Sus scrofa: one gene and its partner. The protein of the gene in region 2 purifies or fractionates together with the protein of the main gene of each other region. This does not show direct contact. Links are inferred from orthologs where the notes say so. Each region holds a gene or a part of one and is shown on either strand. Other genes may lie near its edges.

Evidence for each region.
Region 1: the proteins of LRP5 (region 2) and AXIN1 purify together in Homo sapiens (affinity purification with western blotting; 3 studies listed by BioGRID). This does not show direct contact. The link is inferred for Sus scrofa from reciprocal best matches to the Homo sapiens genes LRP5 and AXIN1.

What each region holds. Positions count from the first base shown.
Region 1 is NC_010445.4:41,337,807-41,353,457, reverse strand, and holds the start of AXIN1 (axin-1), read right to left. Parts: upstream 8,551-15,651; 5' UTR 8,501-8,550; intron 8,061-8,500; exon of another isoform or gene 5,342-8,060; 5' UTR 5,260-5,341; coding exon 4,379-5,259; intron 1-4,378. UniProt on the Homo sapiens protein: Component of the beta-catenin destruction complex required for regulating CTNNB1 levels through phosphorylation and ubiquitination, and modulating Wnt-signaling.
Region 2 is NC_010444.4:4,550,857-4,565,847, forward strand, and holds part of LRP5 (low-density lipoprotein receptor-related protein 5), read right to left. Parts: coding exon 14,760-14,991; intron 12,380-14,759; coding exon 12,180-12,379; intron 6,838-12,179; coding exon 6,629-6,837; intron 5,190-6,628; coding exon 4,999-5,189; intron 4,420-4,998; coding exon 4,210-4,419; intron 948-4,209; coding exon 822-947; intron 1-821. UniProt on the Homo sapiens protein: Acts as a coreceptor with members of the frizzled family of seven-transmembrane spanning receptors to transduce signal by Wnt proteins.

The DNA of each region.
Region 1 (15,651 bases), on a different chromosome or scaffold from region 2:
ACAACCTGACTGGCATCCACGAAGATGCAGGTTCGATCCCTAGCCTCGCTCTGTGGGTTAAGGATCCCGAGGTGCCAGCATCGGCAGTTGCAATGTGACCCTAGACTGGGAACTTCTACGTGCTGCAGGTGCAGTCGTAAAAAGAAAAATAAAATAAAACTAGTGGCAGAGTTCCCTTGTGGTGCAGTGGGTTAAGTAAGGATCCAGCATCATTGCTGCTGTGGCCCAGGACACTACTGTGCTGAAGGCTCCATCCCTGCCCCGGGAATTTCTACATGGCGCAGGCACAGCCAGAACAACAAACAAATGGACAATCGCTGAGTGCAGGTGCTAGAAGGGCTGCTGAAGAGTACAGGCTGCACCAACCTGGCCCAGCTCGGCACCCAGCAGGCAGGTCGGGCCAGGCCAAGCTTTTGAGGCGGAGCCTGGGCCCCAACGCCAAATCATTAAGTAAAAACACAGCCAAAAGAGCCGACCTGCAGCTCGGCTGCGCCGTCCAGGACCCCGATGCCTCCGACCGGCCCTGGCTCCTGCCCTCGAGTCTCCACGCCTTGTGGCCTAGGGGCACCGGAACTGCCGTGGCGACCGCAGAGCTAAACCTCTCAGGGCTGGGCCTGCGCGCCCCCGTCCCCGCCCACGCATAGATTGGCGGCCCTGCTGACCAATGGAGAGCGCCTAGGATCCACCGCTCCAGTCTCAGCGCACAGACTCTGGCCCGCCCAGCCTGCCCGAGCAGCCCCGCCCCCGCCCCACCCCGCCCCCGCCCACTGACCAATGGCGTGAGCCGCCGGGCACGGGGAGCCGCATCATCAGAGGGCCCTTTGCCAACTGACACCAAATTTAAGTGGTGGGGAGCTCTCACTGTGGCCCGGGGGTGACAAACCTGATTAGTACCCATGAGGATGCGGGTTCGATCCCTCGCCTCGCTCCGTGGGTTAAGGATGAGGCGTTACCATTTACTGCGGTATAGATTGCAGACGCAGCTCGGATCCCGAGTTGCTGTGGCTGTGGTGTAGGCCGGCAGCTTCAGCTGTGATTGGACCCCTAGTCTGGGAACCTCCATATGCCATGGGTTTGGCCCTAAAAAGACAAAAAAAAAAAAAAAAAAAAAAAGACCGAATTTAAATGGTGGGTGTGAATCAGCCAAAGTCACACATGCTCACAGTCCCACCAACAACAGGCAACAAGGACCAGGGAGACCCTTCGCAGAGAGACCAGGGGAGCAGCAACGAGTCTGGGGATGCTTCAGCCCGAGGGCTCAAAAGGACCCAGGTGAGCAGGACAAATGCAGAAAAACCCAGGGCCACCTCTACTCTTTCGGTTTTGACAAAGACCTAAGTAAAAGGCTCACCTGCTGTTTCTCAAGTCAGCGACAGGACAAACAGATGTGCATGCATGTGCGTGCACACTCGCGCTCCCCGGGGGGAGGGGCCTGCTCAGACCTGCACCCCGCCCCCCGTGAGGCTCCCCGTCTGGGCACCTCCTCCTCTGGGCGCCCTGTTTGGGGTGAGCCCAGCAGCAGGCCCAGCCCTGGCGCGGTCACGATGCTGGAACGGGCAGGACACTGGCACAAGCCATCCCTGACCACCAGGGCAGACGCGGGGCCCCCTTCTGTGCTTCCTTCAGTGGGAAGCGTCTGTTTACAAAACAAGGGCGCCCAGAGCCCGGAGCCACCCTCCAAGGCAAGGGAGCCCACCTGGCACAAAGCTGGCCACAGGAAGGCAGAGGCAAAAACACTCGGAAAGGGGACAGTTTCTGATAAAACTCAATTTGCTCTCACCATGAAATCCAGCGCTCAGGCCCCTGACATTCACCCAAAGGGGACGAAAACTCAGGCCCACACCAACCCCTGCACACGGGTGATTACTGCAGCTTTCGTCACAACTGTCAAACACGGCAATCAGGATGTCCTCCAGCAGGCGAGTGGGTAAATAAGCCAGACCACCCACGCGGTTCAGCACCAAAAAGAAATGAGCTTCGGAGCCACAAAAAGACACCGAGGAACCGCAAAAGCGTATTAAGAGAGAAAAGCTAGGAGTTCTCGTTATGGCGCAGTGGTTAACGCATCCGACTAGGAACCATGAGGCTGCGGGTTTGATCCCTGGCCTCGCTCAGTGGATGAAGGACCAGGCGTTGCCGTGGGCTGTGGTGTAGGTCGCAGACATGGTTCAGATCCCGAGTTGCTGTGGCTCTGGTGTAGGCCGGCGGCTACAGCTCCGATTCGACCCTTAGCCTGGGAACCTCCATATGCCGCGGGAGCGGCCCAAGAAAAGGCAAAAAGACAAAAAAAAAAAAAAAAAAGAGAGAGAGAGAGAGAGAAAAGCCAGCGTGAACAGGCTGCACGTTGCACAGCTCCAACTACATGGCTTTCCGGAAAAGGCAAAGCCATGAAGATGGCAAAAGCTTCAGGGGCTGACAGGGGCAGGGGCGGGGGCTGGAAAGGACGCGGAGGCAGAGCGAGACCACCCCATGCAGTTCTGCGACAGACACACGTCGCACACCTTGGTCCAAACCCACAGGACGGACCCCACCGCTGAGGGGCCTGGAGTGCAACCACGGACGGCGGGTGGTCATGCCATAGCTTTGGCATCTGAGACAAATGACCACTCTGCTGCGGGAGGCCGGTGACGGGGGAGCCATGCACACGTGGGGACACGAGTGTGCGGGAAACTGCGGCACCTTCCTCTCAACTCTGCTGGTGACCTAAACCTGCCCCACACAAGATCAAGTCGAGGAGTTCTCGTTGTGGCTCAGTGTAGCAAACCCGACTAGTATCCATCCATGAGGATGGGGGTTCAATCCCAGGCCTCACTCAGTGGGTTAAAGATCCGGCGTTGCCGTGGGCTGTGGGGTAGGCCGGCAGCTGCACCTCCGATTCGACGCCTAGCCTGGGACCCTCCATAGGCTGCAGGTGTGGTCCTTCGAACAAACAAAAAGAACACTGTCCTGACCAAATATGAACACTCTCAAGTTAGATTTAGATTTTCTTTTTTTTTTTTTTTTTTTTTTTTTTTTTGTCTTTTTGCTATTTCTTGGGCCGCTCCCGCGGCATATGGAGGTTCCCAGGCTAGGGGTCGAATCGGAGCTGCAGCCACCGGTCTACGCCAGAGCCACAGCAACTCGGGATCCGAGCCGCATCTGCAACCTACACCACAGCTCACGGCAACGCCGGATCGTTAACCCACTGAGCAGGGGCAGGGACCGAACCCGCAACCTCATGGTTCCTAGTCGGATTCGTTAACCACTGCGCCACGTAAGGTTTAAAGACCATGAGGAGGTCCCGCTGTAGCTGCATCCTGGGAGCACTGGGAGGCAGGTTCGACCCCCAGCCCAGCACAGCGGGTTAAGGATCCGGCACTGCCGCAGCCGTGGCAACTGAGGTTGCAGCTACGGCTCAGATCTGATCCCTGGCCCGAGAACCTCATAGGCCAAAAAAGAAAAGAGAGAGACAGTGAGAAAAAGGCAAACGAAAGTCACCTAGGACAGTGTGTCTGCTTCCCACCCCTTAGAGAACATTTCAACCCTCAGCACATCTAGCCCTGTGTTTGTTAGCAAGTAACCACTTTTTCTGCCACGAGAAGATTGAAGACGGGGTCCGGGAGACCAGCGCCGGGAGACTCGCCTGCATCATGGGGTCGCTTTATTAAATGCCAGCCTTTCAGCACCTCGCAGGCCAGGACGGGGAAGGGAGGGGAAGGGCTGCGACCGGCGGCCACAAGCTCCGGCCAGAGACCAAACAAACTGCCAGGAACCACAAGAAAGAGAACCAAGAAACAGGTTTCCAAAGTCCCAGCGACTTGCCAAAGGCACCGCTCCTGGCCTCCCAGCTGCCTTTGTGCCCACAGGCCACGACCATGACCACAGCTTCCGAGTCCCGGTCTGGGCAGGAGAAAGGGGTGGTCCTAGACCCACAAGCGCAGCCACAGGAAGTTCCCACGGGGCTCGGACCGCCTGCGGCACAGCAGCCTCGCCAGCAGCGCTTCCCGACCTCTAGGAAGAAGCTCGGGGGACGACCCGGAATTCTCCACGCACCGACGCCTTTCAACGTCCAGGCCTCCGCTCTCTGAGCCCCAAGGACCGCGGCCACCAGGTCAACACCCCTCTGGGCGAGGGGACACACACGGGACTGCTAAGGGTTGGACGCCACGTGGCGTCCAAGGCAGCCCACATTCCCAGCGCCTTCCGAAGCCACTCGGGTTGGGGCTGTTCTCGCCAAAAGCACCCTCCACCTGCCAGGCTCTGCACACCGTGTGACCTCGCACCCCGGCACCAGGCGTCCCGCCGCTCTGGGGCCAGAGCCGAGGGAGCAGCCCTTTCCCAGGCCAGTCCTCCAGTGCCCGGAGGCGAGCGTGGGACGGCGGCCTCGCGGGGGACTCACCTGAACTCTCTGCCTTCGCTGTACCGTCTACTCGAGCAGGCCCGCGGGGCGGCGGTTTCCAGCAGCAGCAGCGTCTGCGTGAGCCTGCCGGGCGGTGCGGGGTCTCCGGCGGCCTCCTCGTCCGCGCCTCGGTCGCACGTCCACTCCTCGTCCTCGTTCAGCGTGGGCAGGTATCCGGGGACCCCCTTGCCCGTGCCTGCCGCGGAGCCCGGCTCGCCACAGGCCTTGGGGCTCTCGGCGCCCGCGCGCGTGCACTCAGCGTAGATGTCGGACTTGAGGAAGGCGGGGTAGGTGTTGGCCTCCATGCTCGACTGCACCTCGGTCTGCGCCTGGTCGAACATGGCAGGGTCGATCTGCTGCTTGGCGATGCAGTCCTTGATGAAGCTCTTGGTGGCCGGCTTGGTCTGCCTGGACACGACGCCACCGCTGTCGAGGATGTACCTGCGGTAAATTGCTCGGGCCAGCTTCAGCCTCTTCTCCTCGTTCGAGTCGCAGGGCTCCAGCTTCCTGAAGCCGCTGCAGGCGAACCAGAAGTCCAGCAGGTCAGCGCAGTGCTCCTGCCTCAGGAAAGTCCGAAACAGGTTTATCCCGTCCTGATCGTCGAGCAGGGAGTGCAGCGACTCGGCCCACTTCAAGTACGGCGGGGTGGGCGAAGCGCTGCCCTCGGGCTCGTACCCCAGGTCCAGGTCCGAGCGCCTCGGCGTGGCTGTCGAAGTCTCCCCTTTAATCCCGGCACCTTTCCCAGAGCAGAAGCTGTGGCTGACGGGCCTGGGGTCTGTGGACACCAGCTCCCCCTCCTCACCAGGCACTGGGGGCCGGGGGGCATCTTCGGTGAAACTTGCGCCGAGGTCCAAGGGGAAGCCCTGCTCCTGGGTATTCATTTTGGGGCGCTGTGCGTCAAGGCGCAACGCGCGCTGCACCCTAATACATCAGTACTTACGGCTCCCAGGGAATCACTCTGGCCTGTTGAAACCATCAAGAGGACAAGGATTAGGAACAGTGGGGCCATGGAGACACGACCACAGAGGTTTTCTCAGACAAGCCTCGCAACGACGCCCTCCCGCTCAAAGCCAGAGACTCGGCTTAAATTCTCACTCTGTTTTTTTTCCAGAGGCCACACCCACAGCCTGTGGAAGGTCCCGGGCCAGGCATTGACCCCGCGCCCCCAGCTATGACCTGCGCCCCAGCTGCAGCCACACGAGACACTGAACCCACTGCACAGGGCCGGGGAGCGACCTCGCACCACCGCAGAGACAGCCCGGATCCTTAACGTGCTGCGCCACAGCGGGAACTCCCAAATTTTCAATCTTTGTCACCGGTCTTGTACCACGTGAAAACAATGTCTGGAAAGCTTTACAGCTCTAGGCACGCCTCTGGCGCTAAGGGATCAATGTCCCATGCCACTAGCTACAAGCGTCATCCTGCGAGAACAAAGAGGGACGGAAATAAAGCCCTGCCAGCATACAAACAGCAGGCGTGGATCTCCCCGCCACCCCGCCACCTGCCCCCATGCCTGCATGCGCACATTGCACACACTTTGAGGGCCGGCAGCTGTGGGGGGCTAGAGGAAGCACCCAGAGGTGGAGGATGGGTCACGGTTATGGACGGCTCTGCAGCTCATGACTTTCTATGAAAACCACTGGCAGGCTGAAGGGCTCAGGCTCAGCAGGAACAGCCTGCTTCTTAAGGTCAAAGCCCATGGGCTATGACACCCTGCTGCTCACGGACCACTGAAACTGCCAAGGTGCTTTTTGTCTGAGTGCCATCAACACGAACTGAGCACCTTTGGTGTCCCAGCTCCACAGCTGCTCGCGGCCATCCAGGGTTCTCCCGTCAAGGACACCAGCTCAGGAAAGAGGACCCACCCCTGGTCCCTGAGCCTCACCCTTGCAGGGATCCGCCAGCCTTGAGAAAAACACATCACTGTGTCTGACTGGGAGGCTAATTCCGAGTCACCGTCACTTTCTCTTAAAGTGCCCCTTTCTGCCACAGGAGTGGTCTGTGGCAGCCCGAGTTAAACATTTTCTGCAGGACTCACAGCATCTAACACAAGGTCCTGCAAGTAATGGGCACCAATAAATACTTACTTCATCGCCATTAAGGAAAACACCACCTACAGACGCTGAATGTTGGCTCTTCGCAGGCACTGAAGGACTGTGCTACAGAAAGAGCAGCCAGTGAAAGACTTAGTCCTCTGTCATGAAAATGCACTGCTTTAACGGACTAACTTTTACTTCGTGTGTGAACAAGCCCCCCATGTCACTTAAACTAGTTTTTCCTAGCCTAGAAGGAACATCTTAAAATCCATACCTATGTTCCGCTGTCAACGGACAGGAGAACTTCGGGGCCTTGGAAGCACGAGAACCTCGCTCCCAGTTCCTGCTGGTGCTGAAACACGAGCCCATTCCCGAAATGTCTGGGTTCCCACGGACAACTGCAGCGCACGTCGGGTGTGTGTACCACCCGTGAGGCATTTACATCCATTGAGGTCAGAGTCCAGTCCCCACCGACACTGACTCTGGCCCACGGTCTGTAGCCACCATCAATAAAGGGAAGCCACAAAGGGAATCGGAAACCCTGACACCTCACCGAAACGCTCCTTCGGTCCCTGCCAGGCATGCCTGGGCACCACGGCAGCTGCCTCGGTGCTATAGGTGTGTACGTACGCATTCATTTCACTCAAATATACCATCTGAATTGTTTTTTCTTTTTTCAGCCACACCCACGGCACACAGACATTACCAGCCACGGATGGAACCCGTGCAGCATCTGTGACCCATGCCAGAGCTTCGCCAACGCCCACTCCTTCACGCACTGCAACGAGCCTGGGATTGAACCAGCAGCGCCAGAGACAAGCCAGATCATTAACCCGCTGAGCCGCAGCAGGAGCTTCTTAGGTTCGAGGCGCGCAGAAACAGCAGTGCGACTCTGACACGTTCCCGTCGGCCCATTAATTAAACTCTTGAAAGGCCGGGCCCGCCGTTTCACATGTCATCCCGCCAACCAGCTAAATCCTCAATGACCTGTGTAACCCGAAAAGCTTTTCTGAAACTAGAAATCCAAGAAACTTCAACACCTGCTGAAAACCCAACAGAAACAATGCATTTGGCATACGCCTTCCCGTCCTCATCCTGGAATAGCAGCTCCTAAAATTGAACTCAGATACCGACCGCTATCTTAGGGGGCCAGGCTGAGCCTGCGTGTGTTCTCCAAAACAGGGCTCGGTCCCAGAACGCCTGAAATTCTTCCTGAGGAAGCAGAGAACACAAGGACGACAAAAAGGAGGGGCGGAGAGGCACAATAACTCTTTATCGGTTATCTAGAGACGGGCTGAGAAAAAAACACCCCCGAGGATTGGTGTATTTATTCTTCTCTGCTGTCCTGGATGCTAAGCTCTAAGTTTCACAGCTCTGGTTTCAAGAGGGATGGAATTCCAAAACGCAGGGTTGACGGAGAGTCTAAGATGTTCACCCAACAGAGAGTTTGGGGGGCAAGGCAGCCGCGGAAAGAGTAAAGCCACTCACGCGGGCCAAACCACAGCCTAGACCCAGCCTCTGGCACCGCTGCCTCAGAGGGAGCGCCCTCTTTGGGTCTCAGCCTCACTCACCTCTACTTTTTGTTAGAAGAGGGGAGGGACACTGCACCCAGGGTCCTGCTTCTGTCCGGGGTCCCTCTGCATCCCGCCCACACCCCACCCCATGCCCCAGGCCCAGGGACCACTGCACGCACCTGGCACCACCCCATCAAACAGCAGCTGCAGACCCCAGCCTCTTAGAGCAGGACCCCGCAGCCCTTCTCAGAACTGAGTCTTGCTCGCCCCCGACTAGAGCAAGTGGCTGCCCCTTCTGAACTAAATCCCAAACGCTGGCCCACCCGGAGACGCCAGTGTCAACGGCCCTCGCCTCCTCCATCACTCGCCAGCATCCCTTTTTGGACACACCTGCCCTCCTCAGAGCGGACCCACACCCCTTCCTCACACACTCAAACCCGCACACCCTCGGGGCCCGCACAGCCTCAGAGCCCCTCTTCCGGGTCCCGCGCCAGGCCCGGCCTGCGCGGCCTACAATGGGCGCCGCACAGGCCCGCGCCCCTCAGGAATGCGCGCCCGGCCGCACTACTCACCCGCGCGGCGGCGGCGGCGGCGGCGGCGAAGGCGAAGGCGGCGGCGGCGGCGGGGCCCCGGGCCCGGCTCCCGGAGCGGCACGGCGCGGTACGGCCCATGCGCTCAGCGGCGGCGCGGCCGGCGGGACGGGGCGGAGGCGCGGCCCCGGGCGGCCCCCATCGCGGCGGCGGCGGCGCGTCGGCCCGGAGGCGGGCGCGGGGCAGGCCGCAGGGGCGCCGCCGAGGCCGCTCGCCAACTCCCACCGGCCTGCTCCGCGGGGTCGCGGCTCCGGCCCGACTCTGGCCGGTGTAGCGGCGGTGGTGCCCGCGGTGGAGGCGGCTGCGGCGGCGGCGGGGGCGACCGCGATCCCTTCCCCAAGCCGGGAGCCCGAGCCCAGAGCGCCGAAGCCCAGGCCGGAGCGCCCCCGCCGGCGCCGCCCGGAAGTGCGGGGGCGGGGCCCGGGGCGCGGGGCGGGCCAAGAGCGCGGGGGCGGGCTGGGAGCGAGGGCGGGGCCTAGGGTCTGCGTCGGGAACGCAAAGCCCAGCCCTTGCGCCGTGACAGGGCGAAGAACGCGTGGGACGGAGCCTCTGATAAAGGCGACGCCCGGGCGTGTGGGCGCGGCCGAGGACGTGGGGCGGGGCCAAGAGAGTGGGAGCCGGGCCGAGAGCGCGAGACCGAGCCGGAGCGCAGGGAAGGCAAGACCGTAGCGGGTCAGGCTTCGAACGTGGGGGCGGAGCCTCGAAAGCTGAGGCGGGGCCAAAGGCGTCTAGGCGGACCGGAGGCGTGACGCAGAGCCCGAGCAAGTGGGCGGGCTCTAATGTGTCGGTGGGGGCGGGGCCTTGGTGGGGGCGGGGTCAGGGCTGCGTCGAGGGTGACTCGTGAAGGTGCGCCGGAAACTGCGCTGGACTCCTGGGGAAGTGGCTCGGGTACCGAGCGTAGGGACGAACGGGCCCCCTCAGTCGGCCCCGCAGGCGCACGCCGGGTCGCGGCCCTTTCTAGCCGCCCACATGGTGTCCACTGGCCCAGGGCTCCAGAGGTCGGCGCCCACAGGCCCCCGTAGCTCCCTGAATGGGAAGACCCTGGCAGGAGGACTGCCACTAGTCTGGCCAGGGCACAGAAAGAAGCAAGTGCCCAGGAGTTGGGCAGTTGGACGGCACAGCCAGGGTGACCGAGTGCTAAGCCTTTGGTGATATCCAGCGTCTTTCTCCCCCTTCTCCAGGCAGGCTGCCCCCGAGCCAGCCAGGACCCTACCAAGGTGGGCTTGGACTCTGCTCTTCCTAAGTCCGCAGGCAGGTGGGACCCAGCCTGGGCCAGTAGGCATCCAAGAAATACAGGTTGTCACTTGGGGAGGAGCCCCAACTTCCAAAGAGCTGTGGGCGGGACTGGCTGAGGCCTCACCCCAGCTGGCCCATCCTTCCTGGATTTCTCCCAGGTGCCATCCAGGGTCTAGACAGAGGCTCCACTTCCCACCACTGCCTACGGGCCACACTGGCCCAGGCCAGCCTGAGAGTAACGGCTTCTCGGTGTCCCACCCTACACCCACCACCCTTATCCCCCTTGCTGTTTCCATAGCAGCCCTTGCTTGATCTGCAAGCCCGGCTGACCAACTCCCCTGTTGCCCACCCACCACCAGCCGCTCCCAGAGGGAAGGATGTGGGCACCAGAAAGTGATTACTGCCCCTAAGGAATTGCTTCCGTCACCCCCGGCCCATGATCACCCAGGACTTTGTCCTCCAGCAGTGCCCCGTCAGACCTGGTGCCTTGAGAAATGCTCCAGTGGGCCACAGTGCCTGGCTGTACCCCCATTCTACCCACAAGCCACAGCTCAGGCCACACAGGGACCTTCTCACCTCCTCCTGGCCCGGGGCTCCCCAACCTCTCATGAGTCCCACAGCATCCCCAGCAGCCCTCATCTGGCTGCTCCCCGGGCTCTCCCAGCCTTCAGAGCCCTTCCCTGTGTGCATGCGGTCACTCGTCCATCTTTATGCTTTCATTACGCCCACCCCACCCCCAATTCCCCAGGTCAGCTCTGATGCCACCACATTTTCTCCTGGGCCTTGCTCACCCTCTCTGCCCATCCTCCTCATCTTCACAGCTCCCAGGCAAGGAAAGAAGTCCAGGCTTGTGGCACCCTAGCTGCCAGCCCACCTCCCACTCAGCTGCCCACTGGTGGCACCTGCCTGGGTGAGCAATACAGAGGCGTCCCAGCTCCCCGAATCCAGCTTCCCAGGACTCAGCACATCCTCTCACGCACTGTGTTTCATAGGAAAGGGGAGCAATGAGGGCCACCAGAGAAGCATTCCTAACCTGCCAGGGGCTAGGCCACCTCCTGGGGCCGTCACCATGCCCGGGGCAGGCTGGGCAGTGCGGGGGCTGTGGGTGGGGACAGCACATCAGAGGAGCTGAACAGCTGAACCCACGTGGACCCACTGGGGTCCTGGTGGCCGGTGTCACTCTCACCCACATCCAGCTGGGGTGGCCCTAGGCCTCCGGACGCTGGTACAGGAGATGCCTTTGCAGAGCCTCCCCCACCCTCTTCAGCCTCAGAACCTTAGAGACAGAGTGGGTGGCCTTCATGGCACAGCAGAATCTTTGTGGGGTGCAGGGAGTCCTGGGTAGGCCAGACAGACAGCAGGACCTTCTGGACGTTGGTCCTCAGGCTGTCACCCCACTCCTGGACGTGGGACCCCAATGCTTGCCTTGGTTTTGCAGAGGTGCTGTTGTGACCAGACCAGACTCCCAGGGTTGTGTCCACATCCATCCTCCTTCTGGCCCATGGCGGCAGGTGTCCCCAGGCCCTGGGACCAGAACAGGGCCCCCGCGCCTCCGGTTCCTCGGGGCCCTCACCCTGCGGAGACAGGAGGGAGTCAGAAAACCCGCTGCAGTGGTTCGTGGCTGTGGGCTCACATGGGAGCCTGGGGCAGTGTAGGGGTCGGGGCAGATAGAGGAGGAGGCTCAGGTCGTCTCTGAAGAGAGGGAAGCAGGGAGGGCAACCTTGGGGGCCGGCACTGAAGCAGGAGAGACCTGGCAGGGGGACCACATCAGCCACCCAGAGCTGAGAGCAGATATGGAGCTGTGGGCACCTCGTTTGTGAACCGCATGGTCCGAGGTGGAGCCCTCTTGTCGTCCGTAGAGGGACATGGAAGATGCACCCTCGGGGAGTTCCCGTCATGGTGCAGTGGAACCCCATCTGACTTGCATCCATGAGGATGCAGGTCCCATCCCTGGCCTTGTTCAGTGGGTTAAGGATCCGGTGTTGCTGTGAGCTGTGGTGTAGGTCACAGATGTAGCTCGGATCCAGCATTGCTGCGGCTGTGGTGTAGGCCAGCAGCTACAACTCCGATTCAACCCCCTAGCCTGAGAACCTCCGTATGTCATGTGTATGGCCCTGGAAAAAAGACCCCTCCCCAAAATGCACCCTCCCTGGGGGGACCAGAGGCAGCTGCAAGCAGCTTGGCTATGATAAACTATAGATGGCATTTATTTAGGCTTTCCAGAAACTAATGAAAAATCTTAAGGGAGTTCCCGTCGTGGCACAGTGGTTAACGAATCCGATTAGGAACCATGAGGTTGCGGGTTCGATCCCTGGCCTTGCTCAGTGGGTTAACGATCCGGCGTTGCTGTGAGCTGTGGTGTAGGTTGCAGACATGGCTCGGATCCTGCGTGGCTGTGACTCTGGTGTAGGCTGGCAGCTACAGCTCCAATTAGACCCCTAGCCTGGGAACCTCCATATGCCGTGGGAGCGGCCCAAGAAATGGCAAAAAGACCAAAAAAAAAAAAAAAAGAAAAATCTTAAGAGCAAAAAGGAAATTATTTTCTTCAACTTGGACACGAAAGGTATATTTGCGATACCAGGACCCCCGATCCTTCCACATGTTTGCCCACTTGGCCAGGGAGACCACTGGTAAGGAGTCATGCTCAAGACCACCCTGGGGAGTTCCAGTTGTGGCTCAGCAGTTAAGGAACCCGACTAGCATCCGGGAGGATGCAGGTGTGACCCCCTGGCCTCGCTCAGCAGGTTAAGGATCCGGCGTCGCCATGAGCTGTCAGGTAGGTCACAGACGAGGCTTGGATCCCGCATTGCTGTGGCTCTGGCGTAGCCTGGCAGCCACAGTTCCAATTGGACACCTAGCCTGGGAACCTCCATATACCGCGGTGCAGCCCTAAAAAGACAAAAAGAACAACAAAAAAAAGGCCACCCAAGGAGCAGGCAGAGGCTGCTGAGGGGCGCCTGGCATGGCGCCGCGTGTGCAACTGCATGGCGAGGTGAGATACCGACGAGCAGATCCGCACTGACCTCCGGGGAGTCCCAAGCCTCGGCTGAGCCCCTTCTGGGCTCTGTGTTTCCTGCCCCTCTGCCGGGTCACAGGCGGGAATGGGCAGTGAGCGGGCAGGTGAGGGCCCGGAGTGGGAGGGAGGGCTCAGCTCATCCAGTGGTGACGAGGGCAACTGGACTTCCCTTCTGAGACACAGCCCAGCCTCAGCGGTCAGGCACCTTCCTGGTGGAAAACCCAGCCCTGTGGATGCCATCTCTTGTCCCCGAGTGTCCTTTCTCCATCAGTTCTAAGCTCACCAGGGAGAGCCAGGTGTGTCCCCTTCCTGAGCTCAACAAGGATGTGGAGACATCCCGCCATGTGGAGAACCTCGGAGCTGCGCAGGTGGACCAAGAGAATGTGCGAATAAAGGCAGGAGTTACCCCAGGGCATGAGTACCAGTTATTGCTGGAGGGCGACTAGGGCGGGCTCCAGTCTCCTCATGCATCGGGAAAGGCCTACAAGGATCTTCCCGCTCTGATTTTAGAAAAGCTAGGAAGCTCTATAGCAGGGACCATTTTTCCATCAGCTGTCACTATGAATGAATCCGTCAGGGGGAGACAGGCAGCATGGTGAGGACACTGGGCCCCAGGACAGAGCTGACCCGCTGGGCAGTGTCAGGCAGGGTGTGACTGCCATGGGCGCCCAGAGGCAGCCCCAGGGCCAGCAAGAAGGTGCTGCCTTGAGCTTCCTGGGCTGCTGGCTCTGGGGCCACTCCAGGCTGAGCCCTCCCTGGGCCCCCAGGACGCCTCTTTCCGCCTGCCTCTGGCTTCTCTCCCTTCACCCCTGTGGGACAGACGTGTCCTCCAGGCTGGCCTTCTGCATCCCTCTTGCTCTCTGGAGTTCTCACGCCAACCTGCAACCGAAGCGACCGCAGACAGATGCCGCAGGAATGACCTGCTCCCAGTGCCGAGCAGGGAAGATGGGGGGACAGGAGCAGGGCTTGCCTTGGACGCCTGGTTCCAAGGTTAGCTCAGTGGTGACACATGCTCTGACCCTGTTGGTCTCTGTTGTCCAGTCCTGGGTGCCCTGCTCCTAGGAGACACCTCCTGCCCTGGCTTCTCCAGACAAGGGGGTCCCGCCCAGAGAAATGCACAGCGAAGCATTCAGCCATGGCTGGGCTGTGGCAGCCCTCGCAAAAACAGCCACCGTGGTCACCCGCTTGTTCCTGCTCACCTAGAGCCCAGCACCCCAGGCCCACCGAGCTGATGCCAGGTGGGTCCCATGGTTCCCGCACAGACCGCTCACCCGGCAGCCCTGACACCACCCTCACATCCCTGCTGGCCCCCAGGAGTCAAGGGTCAAGCCCAAGGCTGGCACACTCCCTCCCAGGGTGCCCTCCACACACGCCCACTGTGGGTTTCACCCCATGTCCTGCTGGGGTCCTGTCACTCCGGGCTGAGGGGCATAGCAGGGACACCTTTCTGCACCGCCTTTCTGGAGGATTCTGACCCCAGGGGTGTGTCTAGGAGTTGGAGACGGTCAAGCAGGCTCGGGGATGTCCAAGATGGCGCCAGCCAGCCACGGGGACCTGGGAAGAAGAGGGGCAAGCAGCCTCCCCACCCCCAACCCAGCACCCCCGGCTTGGGGGCCTTGGGATCATGCACCCAGCTCCTGCCTCCCCGGACACTTGAGCGCCTGCCTGAACCGGAGTCTCCTCCTTGGCAAGGTGAGGGTCCTGGCCTGAACCTGCCGGCCTCAGAGGTCTATGTGCGACCCTCCGTGAATGGGCCCAGCCCGCAGGACGGTGCCCAGGCTGGCCGTGGTCCAGGTCAGATGTTTCAGACGTGTCACAGAGGAAGGGCCCTGCAGGCCCCCAGCCCAGTGCCATTTCCCCATCAGCCATGGTGTCTGCCGGAGGGGCTGGGCTCCTGAGGGAGCAGCAGGTAAAGTCCCATCTTCCCCGGTGGCCTCAGGCTGCTCCCCCTCTGATCTTGGGGGGACACCCGCCCTCCCGCTGCACTGACTCTGATGCGGGCGTCCACCTCTGTCCTGGCTATTCCCTCTCCAGGCCACCCGGGCCCCGAAGGCCTCCCGGGTACCCTAAGCGCCCACGCCCTCCGCTGGTGACCGCGTCTCCTTCCTCCCGACCCAGCGCGTTCAGCCTCTCCAAGCCTGCGCGTGAGGTCCCAAGGACCAGGGCCACCCCTCGAGCTGACAGCCCGGGGGCCTGGGGGCAGGGAGGTGCTGCCCCAGGTGAGCCCTCACCCCCAGCCCGCCCTCTGCTTTGCTGTCCCTCCAAGTCTCTCTTGGCTGCTGGGAGCCCTGAGGCCGCGGCGGCCCGGTCATAAGGATGTGATTATGTATGCCGGTCCCTCCGGCCCCTTTGTTGCCGCAGAATCTGCCGTGGCAAACAAAAGTGCACTGGATTAGCCACAGTGGATTAAAAGATTTGCTTCTCAGAGTTTACCTAATAACCTAACAATCGCGGCGACGGAGGCTTTGAACCTCCGAGAGGCGCTCGCCAGGCCATCTGGGAGCGCTCGGCCTCCACGGGCGGCAGGACGGGTCGGGGTGACTCCAGGCCGCCTCCGCCCTCCTCACACCCGGCTCTGCCGCAGGGAGCGAGTACTCTCGGCTCCCGCCAGGCCGGTCGGGGCCAAACCTGGGGGGACAAGACCAGACTCCGGAAGACGGAGGCCCAGGCCGGGGACAAGGCCCAGCCAGGACTGCCTTCCAGAGGGCCTGTGGCCCAAGGCCAGGTGTGGGTGGCGGGCACCAGCCTGGCCCCCCAGGCACGTCCACACATCACAGCCAGCAGCAAGGACACTGGCAACATGGAGGGTGGCCGTGGCCGGCAGGTGACACGCCAAGCTCCACCACGCTGTGGCGCACGGCCCCGCTGCCGTCGCCCTCAA
Region 2 (14,991 bases):
TAGCTAACCTGAACAGCACTGAATCTGACTGACATTTACAGAACACGCCGCCCAATAAGAGAGGACACGTTCTTCTCAAGCTCACATGGAATATTCCCCAAAGTGGAGCATGCTGAGGCATAGAACATTACCTGAACAAAGTTAAAAGGATGAAAATCATACAAAGCAGGTGCTCAGATCACAACGGAATTAAACTAGAAGCAAGATGGCTAGAAAGTTTCCAACTCTTTGGAAATCACATGACATATCTCTAAATAACACGAGGGCCAAAAAATTATCTTGAGAAAAATTTTAAAATATTTGAATTAACTCAAAATGAAAATATAGGCGTTCCCGTCGTGGCTCAGTGGTTAATGAATCCCACTAGGAACCATGAGGTTGCGGGTTCGATCCCTGGCCTTGCTCAGTGGGTTAAGGATCCAGCGTTGCCATGAGCTATGGTGTAGGTTGCAGACTCGACTTGGATCCCACGTTGCTGTGGCTCTGGCGTAGGCCGGTGGCTACAGCTCTGAATAGAGCCCTAGCCTGAGAATCTCCATATGCTGTGGAAATGGCTCAAGAAATGGCAAAAAGACAAAAAAAGCAAAATGAAAATATAATTTATCCAAATTTGTGGGATGCAGCAAAAGGAGTGCTTAGAGGGAAATTCATAGCCCTGATATACCTATATTAGGAAAGAGGACAAACAAAGAGACAGTCTGATTTGGAAACTGTATGCTACCAGGAATATATATCTAAAAGGTGCCTGGCAGCAACCTCACAGGCAGAGGAATCAGGTCCCTGCTCAGTGTCCCAAAAGAAAGTGCTGAGGTCACACCTACCACCACAAGTCAATAGGTTCTGCAGGAGCACAAGGTGGACTGGGCATGAGCACCGTGGGGTTCCATCACCCTTGGCGATGCAGATGTGGGAACAGCCGCCATTGTCCCGGGCACAAGGGTGGGCTGCTGTGGAGAGAAAAAAGGGAGAGGGTTGGGTTCCTATCTCAGGACTATGGCCCAAAGGATGGAGGGGATGGGGGCCAGGCAAGAACTCATAAGAACTGGTACTCCTGTAAGAGTGTAGGAGATCCTCCCACTTTATTTTCAGGGCAGCCCATGTAGCCTGTTTCTACTGACACTGCCTTTTGCAGATGAAGAAATGGAGGCCAAAAGCACTTAGAGAACTTTCCCAGCGTCACAGCCCAGCTCATCTGTGCCAGCTTCCACTGAGCCCACAACTGTCACTCTATGCTGCCTACCTAGGTGTCTGTCTCTTGCGGTGTAGTGGTCTCCAAAGCTATGTCCACATCCTACTGCCTGGAATCTGCGCATGAGACCTCATTTGGAAAGAGTCTTTGCAAATATAACGATGCTAAGGATCTTGAGAGGGGTCTTTTCTGAATTATCCGGGTGGGCTCTGGATTTTTTTTTTTTTTTTTGTCTATTTTAGGGCCGCTCCCACTGCACATGGAGGTTCCCAGGCTAGGGGTCTAATCGGAGCTGTAGCCACCAGCCTATGCCAGAGCCACAGCAATGTGGGATCCGAGCCGCGTCTGCAACCTACACCACAGCTCATGGCAACGCTGGATCCTTAGCCCACTGAGCAAGCCCAGGGATCGAACCCACAACATCGTGGTTCCTAGTGAGATTCGTTAACCACTGAGCTATGATGGGAACTCCTGGGTGGGCTCTAAATTCACTGACACATGTCCTTATAGGAGATGACAGGAGTTAAGGATCCTGCATTGCCACTGCTGTGGCGTGGGTCCCTGCTCTGGCATGGGTTTGGTCCCTGGCCAGGGAGCTTCTGCATGCCTTGTGTATGGCCAAAAAAAAAAAAAAAAAAGAGAGATGACACAAGAAGTGGAGACAGAGGAGAAGGCCATGTGCAGACAGAGGCAGATATTGAAATGATGCAGACACAGGGAACACCTGTAACCACAGGAAGTGGGAGGCGCAAAGAACCCCCCCCCCGCAGCCACCCCAACCTCCAGAGGGAGCCCAGTCTGCAGACACCTGGACCTTGAACTCCAGACAGTAAGAGAACATGTTCGTGTTACTTTAAGTCACCCCGTTTGTGGTGATTTGTTACGGGAACTGCAGAAGACTACTACACACAAGAACTAAGATAACAAGGATGCTGAACCCCTGGGAACTTGAATATTTTAATTCAATTAAACCTCACGTGCCCAACACCTGGACAATGTTTAGGAGCCTGGGAGGGGGGCTGACCTCCCTCAGGTGGGAGGAAATGACTCTGCCCCTCGCTCCCACCCCCAGAGACAAATCAGTGTTGTCAAACTCCCCCTCAACCTTGACAACTAGGTGTTTTAAATGGAGGAATCTGGAGTTCCCACTGTGGCTCAGTGGTAAGGAACCCAACTCGTATGCAGGAGGATGCAGGCTCAATCCCGGGCCTTGCTCAGTGGGTTAAGGGTCCGGTGTTGCTGTGGCTGTGGCGTAGGCAGGCAGCTGCAGCTCAGATTAGACCCCTAGCCTGGGAACCTCCATATGCTGCAGTTACGGCCTTGAAAAGCCAAAATAAATAAATGAATAAATAAATGGAAAATGGCAGAGTCATCGTTTAGAGTAGGGCCAGCAAACATTTTCCATAAAGAATCGGAAAGTAACTTTGGCTTCACGAGCCAGGCCACCTGTCACGACTCCACAAGTCAGCCAGCTGCCTCGCAAAGGCAGCCAGGGTGACACACACACCGACTGTCCACCCTGGTCCAGAGTCCAGTTGTGGGATCTTGCAGGGCAGCAGGCCGGGTGACACACATCCTAAGGCTTTCCCGCCCTTGCCCCAAACAGAGCCTCTCTCTGTCACCCTAGTCCCTGCACATTCGTGCTCGGGGACACATCCCCGGTTTCCAGCCTCAAACCTGCTCCCTGAATGTCTCCTGGCCCCCCTGCCCCCTCAGTTCCAAGGAGCTTCTGCGCAGCTGCCTGGCTTTCAGCGACACCAGCAGGCAGTGGTCTCAGCATTTGTGGGACCAGCATCTCTGTTTTGACCATCTGCCAGGGACACACAGGAATCCAGGACTTTGCTGAGGATGGTGTGAGGGGCAGGTAAACGCAGGCGTCTAACCCACAGGCACAGCGGGCCCCGGTTCCCTGGAAGCTGGTCGTCCAGTGATTTCTCTTACCTGGGACCCAGCTGAGCACCCACGGGGCAGAAAGCACCCTCTAGCAGTCAACCCAGGGGTGACAGACTCACAGCATTAGAGGTCCTGACTCCAGTTCTGAGCAGGGAGCCCAGAAAAAAGCCCAGTGCCTAAAACATGGGCTCTGGCCTCACATCCAAGCCCCATCGTGTTTACTGGCTGGGTGACAGGGTGGCGTCACACCCTTTCTGAGCCCTGCCTCCCTCAACCGTAAAAGAATTATTGTGAAATAACACACATAACGTCATAATATACTGGGCACAGGGCCTGGCGTGCAGAACAGTCAAAACCTCGGGGGTGTGGCCGAGGTGGGAGGCCAAGGTGACGGGCTGGGCTGGGATGGGGGGCAGCCCCCCGGGCCTTGAAGGCGGCCAGACAGTGGGTATCACAGGACAAGGACAGCAAAGGCCCTGTTCACCCAGCTGGCAGCCCAGGTGTATTTACGGAACGAGGAGAGAAAAGCAAGAAGACAGAGGGACAGACATACATGTATGCCCACCTGCCTCTAAACACATGTATGGCCGTATACAGAGGGGGTGGAGGGACCAGAGGTCCCTGGGGGACACCCACCCTCCCCCAGGCACGTGGGCACAGTGCAGACTCCTACAATGACCCCCGAAGTTCCCACCCTACTCCCCAGCTGGGATGAGCTATCGTGTCTGGGGTTTTGTTACCTTCCTTGGCAAGAGGCGTTGAGAGATGTAATTAAGGTTACTAATCAGTCAAAGGGAAGCTAATCTGAAAACTGGCCGGAATCTAATCTCTGGCCCTTGGAACGCAGGGCGGGTTCCAGGTGGTAGAAAAGGAAGCCAGAGGGGTTTGCTCTGTTGCTGAGGGCGGGGAGCACACGGTGAGAGCCTGAGGGTGGCCTCTGGGAACTGAGAGTGGACCTGGCTGAAAGCCAGAACGCAAACAGGGCCTCAATCCTACAACTCTCGCGTTGGCTCAACCTCCTGTCTTTCTCCAAGGGGACCAGGTCGGGGGGCGATGTGCTCCGTGCAGGCGCCCACCCTCCCCGGGGACCCTGCACACACCGCCGCCTGCTGCCGCCCCCCACGTACAGAACTCCTCCACGCTGATGTCCTCCACGGCGTGAATGCCGGTCAGGTGGGCGACACGGCCCTGCACCCGTGTCCGCGAGTCCCCCGTGGTCTTGTCCACGCGCTCGATCATCTGCTGCTGGCGGTCAATCCAGTAGAGGTGCTTGCCCAGCACAGTCAGGCCCACGGGCTGCACGATGTTGGCGTCCTCCAGGGTCAGGCGGTTGGCCCCTGCAGGAGGGACGGCGTGCCCTGAGTGGCAGCTGACTCCGAGAGCTCGGCCCTCCCTTGACTTGGGAGGACGGGGGGGGCTGGGGCTGGGACACAGTCCCTGGAATCAGGCAGATGTGAGGTCCCTCCTCGGATGTTCCTGCTCCCACCTGGGCTGGCCTCGGGGCCAGGGCCATAACCCAAATCTGGGGCGCAGTCACTAGCCCCCTGAAAACAGGGTGCTTCCCTCCCCTCAGCCCCCTCCCCCCCAACTTCTGGAGGAAAAGCCCCTCCAAGCACTGACTCTCACGCCTCTCCAGCCCAGGGGCCTCCACACCAGAGCAGCTGCGAGAACAGGCACGAGAGGCAGAGGGTAGGATTCCTCCTCTACCCCACGCTGTGGGGCCCTGGGCAGCTGGCTCAGCCTCTCTGAGCCCAGGGGATCATCTGGGACCTGGAACGCACGGGGGGGACTATGCGTGGTAAAGCCCCAGCACGGGCCCCGCTGCCACCCTGTGACTGACGACCAGGAGGGCCCTGGTGGGTCAGACCTGGTGGCTGCCGAGGGACGGATCCCCGGGGAGGCCCCAGGGCGTGTACCTGACAGGTCGCAGCTCTCGATGCGTTTCAGGTCTGCGTCCACCCAAAAGAGCTTGCCCAGCGCGTTGTCCACCACGAGGGCCACGGGGCGGATGAGGCCCGTGGTGAAGAGGACCTCACGCTCGGTGCCATCCAGGGCGGCACGCTCGATCTTGGCCGCCCGGTCCTGCATGTTGGTGAAGTACAGGTACCTGCGGGAGGGGCGGGTGAGGGATGCTGCTGCGGACGGAGCTCCGCGCAAAGCCCCGGACAGACCTGCCCCCAGCCCTGGGGGCACCCAGCGGGGCTCCGTCACCCATCACATGGCCCCAGCCTCTCAGGGCCCCGGAGCTGAAAAAGTCACACCCTGGAGGGGTTGCAGAGTGTCCCACACAACCTTGCATCTACCCGGAGCCTCAGAACGCGACCTTATGTGGAAACCAGGTCTGTGCAGGTGTGATTTAGGACAAGGTGAGGCCCCACCCCAGGTTACGATGGGGCCCTCAACCAGTGACAGTGGCTTCGAGAGAGAGAGAGGAGCAGCCACACATACACAGAAGCTGACGTGAAGACGGAGGCTCAGAGGATGCGGCCCCGAGCCCAGGCCAAGCAGCGGCTGGGGCCCCAGAAGCCGAGGGCAGGAAGCTTCCTCCTTGGAGACTCAGGTGGGAGCACGGCCTCGCCCACACTTGACTGCAGTCCCCAGAACCACAAGGGAACAAACACCTGCTGTTTTAAATCCCCGGTTTGCAGTCACTTGTGGCGGCGGCCCCAGGCACCAGTCCTCGCTCCCATGCTTTGGTTGCTGAAGAGCCCCCTTAAATGACTGGGCCCTCGTGTGCTGTGGGGCTGGCTCTACCACTGTCTTCACATGGAAAATGAGCCCCTGGGAGGTTTGTCACCTGCCTGAGGTCACTCAGGCAGTAAGTGATGGGGCCAGGATTTGAACTCGGCTCTGTAGAGCTGATGCAGTGCCTGGACGGGTCTGATTCCAGCCTTGAGTGTCAGCTCTGCGGGTACCTGAGGTGGCCACCGTGCTCCTGCTCCTGTCCCCAAACCTTCCTGTGACTGGCTTTATTTCTGAACCCCATGTCATGTGGCTTTGGGTCCCCTCCCATCCTGGTCTTCCCCTTTGGGAGCCTCGGCATCCATCAAAGTGTCCCGGGCGCTCTCTTGCCTACCAGGGCACCCGAGGGCTGACGGTGGGAGCAGCAGGGAGCTTCAGAGAAGGAAGGAGCTCCCAGTTAGGTAGTGACCTCCCCGCGGTGGGACATATGCAAGTAAATAGTCCACCACCGCCTGGAAGGGGTGGTTGTACAGGGTTCAAGTTTGATGGGATGGTACGAAACCCATGAACGAGGACTTACAACCTTCCTGTGTTTCTCAGCAAAGCCCGGGCCCCTGCAGAGGCTTTCAGTCAAGGCCATCCCGGGGTCTCTGACTCCCCGCCAAGACTGGGGAAGAGTCAGTGTTTCCTCGACCCGCCCAGCTGCTGTGGCGGGAACCCGGGGGAGATCCTGGCGGACGGGCACGTCGGGTGGGAGAGCCCTCCTGGCTCGAGAGGCTGCCGCTCACGGGACGGACGCCGGGCACCCCCCCAGCCAGTGCAGACCCCACCCTGCGGTGCCCACCCACCCCTTCGGCCCCGTACCCTCGCTCGGCGTTGACGACGATGGCCCTCGGCTTGTCTCGGTCCCCCCGGAGCACCACGCCCATGGCGTCCCCGTTCAGCCGGTGGACGTTGATGGTGTTGGTGGCCTCGCACGTCCAGAACAGTGTCCGGCCGTAGACGTCGATGCTGAGGTCGTGGGGCTGCCTGTCTGGGCTCTGGCTTTGGCCCGGAGAGGTCAGAACGAAGGGCTGCAGAACAGGGGGACACGAGCACCAGCTAAGGACACCACAGGGAGGGCAGAGCCCTCGATGGCCGCGTTCAGACCAAAGGTCAGCCCCCCACGGGGCACCTGTCCTTTCAAACCGGCTCTTGCCCAAACGGCCATGTGGGAGCGACACTGACTCCTAGGACAGCTCCCGCCCGTCAGCTCGGACCCCAGGCTCAGCCATCAGGGACTGCACTGGGCCGGGCTGGCCGCCACCCGACCCAGACCGGCCTGTCCCTGCAGCACAGGGGCCCGCCTGCCCGCTGAGCCGTCAGCCCAGGTTCATGGGCCCCAGCTCAAGACACCTTCCCTCTCCTTGCTTCCGTGGACTCAGGCTTTGGGATTAAGACTCGAATGTTACTGTTACTTAAGCTGAGGCTTTAGAACAGCAGGTGCCACACAGAGGGCCACTTCATACAAGTCTCTTCCCGGAGGGAGAGAGGCCACGGGGAGGAGGCCTGGCGAGGGTGGGGACTGCCCACAGCACATCCTGGGAGCCCAGGGCCAGCGCGCCCCTCTCAGGCCAGTCCTCGCCACCTTCCTGCGGGTCCCCCAGGGGCGCAGCCTGACTCCTGGCCATCCGCCCTCGCAGGGATGAGCCCGGCTTCCGGAGCCACTGGCAGAGTCCCCTTCGCAGGGGACCTTGTTTCATGAGCTGATGCAGCAGGAGAGCCCAGAGCTTCCTCTCCTCACAGGCCTGGGCCTGATTCCCCGGTGGATCTGGTCCCCTGGGGTCCCCGTGGCCTGACCTGGTGCCAAGGGCTTCCCAAGCTGCTGGGCCACCGCCGCCAATGGCCTGGTGAAGAGCTCCCTGCTCTGAGGAGGGAGCCTCTCAGGGTGAGGCTGGGGTCAGAGCAGACTCTCCACTTACACCTCGCTCCAGCAGGTGATACCAGGCATCTCCCGGGGGTAAGAGGGGGCTGGCAGCCAAAGAGCAGCCCCCTTCCCCAGGCCCAGCCTCCTGGACCCATCTGGAGAGGAACAGCCCCCTCCAGCCCCCGCCCACAGCGGCCTCTGGTCCAGCCCCACTGGGCAGCTGGAAGTGTCACCCGCATCTCTGCACGTACCGACGTGCGCAGCCCCAAGGAGCCACACGTCAGCTCTAAGCAGGCACAGCCCTGGAGTCACGGACCACAGCCCAGGGCGGCCAACGGGCTGGGCGGAAAGCAAGACTGCAGCTCGCCCTGGCCGGACGCGGGACTGCAGGGCGGGTAACGGGGCAGCTGGGCACAGAGTCATCAGAACAACCAGCTGACAAACGTGCCCAGGGGAGCCACACACCGCCCCCGCCCTGCCAGGCAGAGAAACCGGGAGACAGACTGCACGTGCTGGGCCGGCTTCAGAGAAGCCAGACCCCGCTTCTGACACAAGGAACAGGCCTCCGGCCAGGGCCGAACCGGGGCAGAACCCTCTCCATCAGCACGCTCAACACCCTTCCCCCTCGCCAGTGCAAAGCGGCACTTAGCCTGTGGGCGAGCCTGCGGCTGCAGACTCCCTCCAGCCCAAAGGAGGGCACAGCCCAAGCCACCGCTGAGGTCGATGGACCAGCAAAACGCGTGCTGCACAGACACCATGTGTTGGTCTTAAAGAGGAAGCAAATTCAGCAGCGCCTCCGCGCCTGCCCGCCTGCTTCTCGTCCAAGCATCCCATCCTCATAAATCTCTTTCTTGCGTGTGGCTTTGTCTCTCGCTGAATCCCTTTGCGCAAAGACATAAAGACCCTGAACCTCAGTGAGTCCAGACACCGGGTGAGTGATTTTAATTTAAAACTGTGGGTTTGGGAGGTCCCATCGTGGCACAGTGGGAACGAATCTGACTAGCACCCCTGAGGACACGGGGTCGATCCCTGGCCGTGCTCAGTGGGTTAAGGATCCAGCCTTGCTGTGAGCTGTGGTGTAGGTCACATATGCGGCTTGGGTCTGGCGTGGCTGTGGTGTAGGCTGATGGCTACAGCTTCTGATTCGACCCCTAGCCTGGAAACCTCCACGTGCCGCAAGTGCAGCCTTAAAAAGAAAAGACAAAAACCGTGGGTTTGTCCCAATCTGGTTCTAGGCTGGGTTTGACTCCCGGCAGGTGGGTTCACATTCCAGTCTGTGTTCTGGCTGCGTTCAGGCCGTTAGCGCTGTCAGATTCAAAACCACCTCCTCCTCTCTCCAAAGAGGGTGCGGTCTTCAGCGCATGAGCCTGCTGTGGCCTCCTTTGCTCGGAAAAGCAAATTCTGCCACGTGCTATGGTGCCAACGAACCTTGAGGACATTAGAGGAAGTGAAATAAGCCAGTTACAAAAAGATAAATACTGTGTGATTCTGCTTAAATGACGTACGTAGAGCTGTCAAACTCACAGAAACAGCAAGGAGGACGGCAGGTGCCAGGGACCGGTGTGGGGGTGGCGGGGGGAAGGGAGGGTTAGTGGTTTTTGTTTTGCTTTGTTCTTTTCTTTTTTTAGGCCACCCCGAGGCAGATGGAATTCCTGGACCAGCGATCAGGTTCAAGCTGCAGTTGCGGCAACGCCAGATCCGGAACCCACCATGCCAGGCCGGGAGACTGAACCTGCATCCCAGCGCTCCAGAGACACTGCCGATCCCGTGGCACCACAGCGGGAACTCTGAGAGTTCGTGTTAAATGGGCACAGAGTTTCATCTGGATGGAGCTGATGGTGGCGCCACAATATGCATGGACTTAACGTCACTGAGCTGCTCGCTTAAAGAATGTTTCAAATGGGAGTTCTCGTTGTGGCGCAGCAGAAATGTAGCCGACTAGGAACCGTGAGGTTGTGGGTTCGATCCCTGGCTTTGCTCAGTGGGTTAAGGATCCGGTACTGCCATGAGCTCACAGACACGGCTCGGATCTGGCATTGCTGTGGCTGTGGCATAGGTTGGCAGCTGTAGCTCCCATTAGACCCCCAGCGTGGGAACTTCCATATGCTGCAGGTTCACCCCTTAAAAAAAAAAAAAGAACGTTTAAAATGGAAGTTCCCATTGTGGTTCAGCAGATTAAGGATCTGGCATTGTCACTGCAGTGGCCCAGGTCACTGCCATGGCGTAGGTTCAATCCCTGGCTGGGGGGGAAACTTCTGCCTGCCACAGATGTAGCCAAAAAAAAAAAAAAAAAAGGTTTAAAATGGTAAATTTTATGTCATGTATATTCCACCACAAAAGAATAAACAATGAAGTAAAAAAAACAACAGCCAAATAGTTATAGAGTCAAGACCATCATGCCTGGGGGCCGGGTGGTGACCCCCATAAAGAATTAAGGCCCCCAGAGGATGGAGTTCTAACAAGAGAGGCAGGGATGGAAATGAATGTTTCCCAAATTAAGTGCCCCTAAAGGGGCTTTTTCTTCAAAGTCTCCCCGACTTTGCCAGACACCATAAGAGGACGCAGGAGAACGCCTCTCCGCCTCTCCGAGAGACAGACGACAGACGTTCAGGCAATTTGCGCCCAGCAACGTTCCCAGCAGGGAAGCCTCGGTCCGGCAATTAACACATCCCGTTCCTCCAAAGGCCTCAGAGTGACAGTCACCTGCGCTCAGAGTGGGATGAAAGGAATCCACCAGGCTCTGCTCCTACAGAGGTGACAGCGCAGCTGCCGGGCCGGCAGGGATTTTACCATCAACCCAGGACACGGGGACGGCAGAGGATGACGGCCTGTTCGCTTTCCACTGTCGCTGGATGAGGTCTTTCGTCAAAAGGGAGGCCCGGGGAGTTCCCGTCGTGGCGCAGTGGTTAACGAATCCGACTGGGAACCACGAGGTTTCGGGGTCCCTCCCTGGCCTTGCTCACTGGGTTAAGGATCCAGCCTCGTCGTGAGCTGTGGTGTAGGTCACAGACGCGGCTCAGATCCGGTGTTGCTGTGGCTGTGGTGTAGGCCGGCGGCTACAGCCCTTATTAGACCCCTAGCCTGGGAACCTCCATATGCCGCAGGTGTGGCCCTAGAAAGACAAAAAGACCGAAAAAAAAAAAAAGTGAGGTCCAGCCGCACAGGCAGCCCTGGGTTCGGGGTGGGAAAGGGAAACATCTACTTTGCAGACACAAAAACCACCTGAAAGTCTCCGCCCAGGAGAATTTCCCCGCCCCTCGCCGTGGTAACAGCATCGAGACTTTGCCACGATGACATGAGATGTGACGCTACCACTGGTCGACAAAGAGACCGGTAGGTTGTGGAGCTTTGGTAAAAAGGAGTCTTTTCTTAGCTCCCACTGGGGCTCAGCGGTGATGAACCCGCCTGGTATCCATGATGATGTGGGTTCAATCCCTGGCCTCATTCAGTGGGTTAAGGATCTGGAGTTGCTGTGAGCTGTGGTGTAGGTGGCAGACGCAGCTCGGATCCCGAGTTGCTGTGGCTGCGGGGTAGGCTGGCGGCTGCAGCTCTGATTTAAGCCCTAGCCTGGGAGCCGCCACATGCTGCAGGTGTGGCTCTGCAAAGCAAAAACAACACCAAAACAAAAAAGGGCCTTTTTTTTTTTTTTTTTTGGCTGTCCCTTGGGCACATGGAGTCCCAGGGCCAGGGATCTGAGCAGACCTAGGCTGCAGCAATGCCAGATCCTTTAACCCACTGTGCTGGGCCGTGGAGCAAATCGGCATCCTGGCGCTGCAGAGATGCCACGGATCCCTTTGCACCACAGCGGCAACTCCTATCAAAGGAGTCTTTAGAAACTGGTGTGAACAGCCAGGCGTGTCCTCAAATTCTACATCAAAGGGATTCTGGTCACAGCTCCCTGCTACACGGGTGGATACACCCGGTGTGCCCTGAAGCTGCAGTGACAATGTCCTTCCTGGAGTGGGTCACAAAAACCTAACAGAAAAGCGGCCAGTCCTGCGCCGTATCTGCTGTAGAAATTAGGTACCGAACTATTTAACACGTGCAGGCCAGCGCCCCTGAACTGCCAGCTTCCTCTTCTTTTCCCCCGTGTGTCACTGATGGAGTTTTGAGCGCTGTGCACCAGCCCTGTTCCCCCCCGTCTCGCGGGTGATTTTCAGGAACACGCATGCTGCATTAGAGCAGAACTGGCCATCAACCCCCTGAAATAAAAAGATGCGTCGCGAATAGCTGATACCAAGCATCCCTGCACAAAACCACCGCGGAAAGGAAAAAAAAATCCCGTGGGGTCTGACACCCACCACCACTACTTAAACAGCAGCAAATTCCAGTTTCTACAGAGAACTGCAGGCTTTCTCAAATCTGGTCATGACATAATTGGAGCCCAAATCATGGCTCCCCCGGCCCTGGGCTCTCTTGGCACTCCCTCTGCCAAGCAAAGGAGGCCGCAGCCTAGACACCGCCAGGACGAGCTCCTCGGGCTCCCGGGCCCCCCGTCGGCACACTTGCCTGGGTCCCGTCGTCCTTGGCCCGTTTGATGTTCTGGCGCCCATCTACCCAGTAGATGAACTTGTCCAGTGGGTCGTAGTCAATGGCCCTGACGTTCCTCAGCCCGTGCAGGGGCAGGATGAGGTCCGGGCTGTGCTGGTCGTCGGGGATCATCCGGCTGACGGCGCATTTCTGGCTGAACAGCAAGAAGGTGGTGGGCGCTGGGGGAGGCAAGCAGACGGGCTGCAGTCAGCGGCGGGGAGCCAACCGGGGGCTGTGGGCTGTGGGTGGGGAGGACGGCGTTGCAGCTTATGGTAAAACAACCTACTAGATGTGGGGGGAGCCTGGAAAGACACAAGGCTGTTTTGGAGGGCTGGACGTGGAGAATTTTACGTGGCTCCACAAGTCTCTATGCTTATTTTTTATTTCATTTATTTTTGGCCCCACCCACGGCACGTGGAAGTTACCAGGCCACAGTAGTAATCAGAGCCACAACAGTGACATGGGATCATTAACCCTCTAGGCCACCAGGGAACTCCTGCTTGAGTATTCTCTAAGTGCATGTGTTGTTATTACTATTTTTTTTTAGGGCCACAGCCGCAGCATATGGAGGTTCCCAGGCTAGGGGCCCAATCAGAGCTCCAGCTGCTGGCCTATGTCACAGCCACAGCCACGCCAGATCCGAGCCGCATTTGCGACCTACACCACAGCTCACAGCAACACCGGATCCTTAACCCACTGTGTGAAGCCGGGGATCGAACACACAACCTCATGGTTCCTGGTCGGATTCATTTCTGCTGCGCCATGATGGAAACTCTGCATGTGTTATTTTAAAACTAGACATCCATCCATTTATTTATTTATTTATTTATTTATTTTAGGGTTGCACCCATGGCATATGGAAGGTCCCAGGCTAGGGGTCAAGTTGGAGCTGCAGCCACCAGCCTGCACACAGCCACAGCAACGCCAGATCCGAGCTGCATCTGCAACCTATACCACAGCTCGCGGCAATGCTGGATCCTTAATGCACTGAGCGGGGTCAGGGATCGAATGTGCATTCTCACGGATACTGGTCAGGTGCATTACTGCTGAGCCACGGTGGGAACTCCCCATTTCTTTTCAGATGATCAAGCCTCAGGACAGAAGGAGGTCATAGCGGTGAAGCCTGTGTGATGCTCGGGTGACTCTGGGATTCGGCAGGTGCTTCCTCGTGCTCCTGGGAAGTGCTGAAAACTGTGTGTTGGGAACCGTGACACCAGGAGGGGACATTCCTCAGGACCATGAGGAGCAAAGCTGCCTGGGTTCAGAAACTGTGTCACCCAGGATGTGTGTGGGCCATCAGTCACAGTCAGAGCCGTAGCTGGGCCACGTGAATCCAAGCTGTGGCCCTGGGCCTGCCAGCCACGGGAGCCAGCGCCCGAGTCACATCTCCCTGGGCAGAGGGAGGGACAACAGGACCAAAGGGAGCCCAGGAGAAGGGAGTCCCAGGCCATGGCCCCAGGCTCGTCTCATACCAGCTCAGGGCCCCAAACAAGCCCCTTGGCCGTCCAGGGCCTCAGGGCCCCGCATCCACACAACTTGGGCTGAGGAAGCCCAGCCCTCCTAACGCCCTGGGCTGTGAGAGGCTCAGGCAAGGCCCTGGACCACAAAGAGCTTTATAAACTGTCAACTGCAGAGTTCCTGTCATGGCTCAAGCTGGTTGAGAGCCCGACTAGTATCCATGGGTATGTGGGTTCAATTCCTGGCCCTGCTCAGTGGGTTAAGGATACAGTGTTGCCATGAGCTGCAGTATAGGTCTCAGGTGCAGCTCAGATCCAGTGTTGCTGTGGCGTAGGCCAGTAGCTGCAGCTCCGATTTGACCCCTAGCTTGGGAATATCGATATGGCGAGGGTGCGGCCCTAAAAAAATAAAATAAAATAAACTGTCCAGAGCTGCACAGAGGCCGAGTTATAAGCAGCTCTCTGCTGACTCACAGAGAAAAGCCTGCCAACAGGACGCACCTGTTCTCCCTGCAGGCCTGTGGGAAAGTCATTCTTGGGCTCTCTGGACCTGGCTTTTCTTATTATTGAAATGAAAGCAAAAAAACCTACGTAATTTAGAGGATCACACAAGCGGACAGGAGGCCACATGGCAAGGGGCCAAGGGCAGGGACTCTGGAGCCAGCCTGCCTGGATTCAAACTTGGTTCAAGTCTTAAGAGCTGTGTGGCCTTGGGCAGTAGCCATCGCAGTGTCCGGGGTCCTTGTCTGTGAAACGGGACAGTGATACTCCTGACCCTGTGGGCTTGGGGATCCAGTAAGTGCCATGAAAAGCCCTTGGAACAATGCCTGGCTCTGTGAGGCTCTCCCCAGAGGCTCTTTTTCACATTCAAAGAGCCCCCCAGGGCACGCGCCAGCTGAGGGCTTGGCCCATCTACTTGTGTCTTGATGAAACCACAGGTCTTCCACCCAGCCTGAGCCTCCAGGTAACATCTTGCAACTCGTGCAGTGCACAACCTGCCCACCTGTCCATGTGCCCCCAGGTATCTCCAGCCAAGAACTGTCTTTCTACCTGACCCGCCAGACGGATCCAATGTGGTGCAGGGGGAGAGTGTGATACTTACGGCTGCAGTTGCGGCTGCTGGGGTCCAGGGTGTAGTGTGAGGCGCAGCTGCAGCGGTGGCCGCTGGGGACGGCCAGGCACAGCTGCCCGCACTGCCCGTTGTTGTGCATGCAGTCGTTGAGGCCGTCCTGGCGGGAGGAGTGGAACACCAGGATGTCCATCACGAAGTCCAGGTGGCCCTGGATCAGGGTGCGGTTCCGGCCACTGGTCTTGTCGGCCCGCTCGATGCTGTG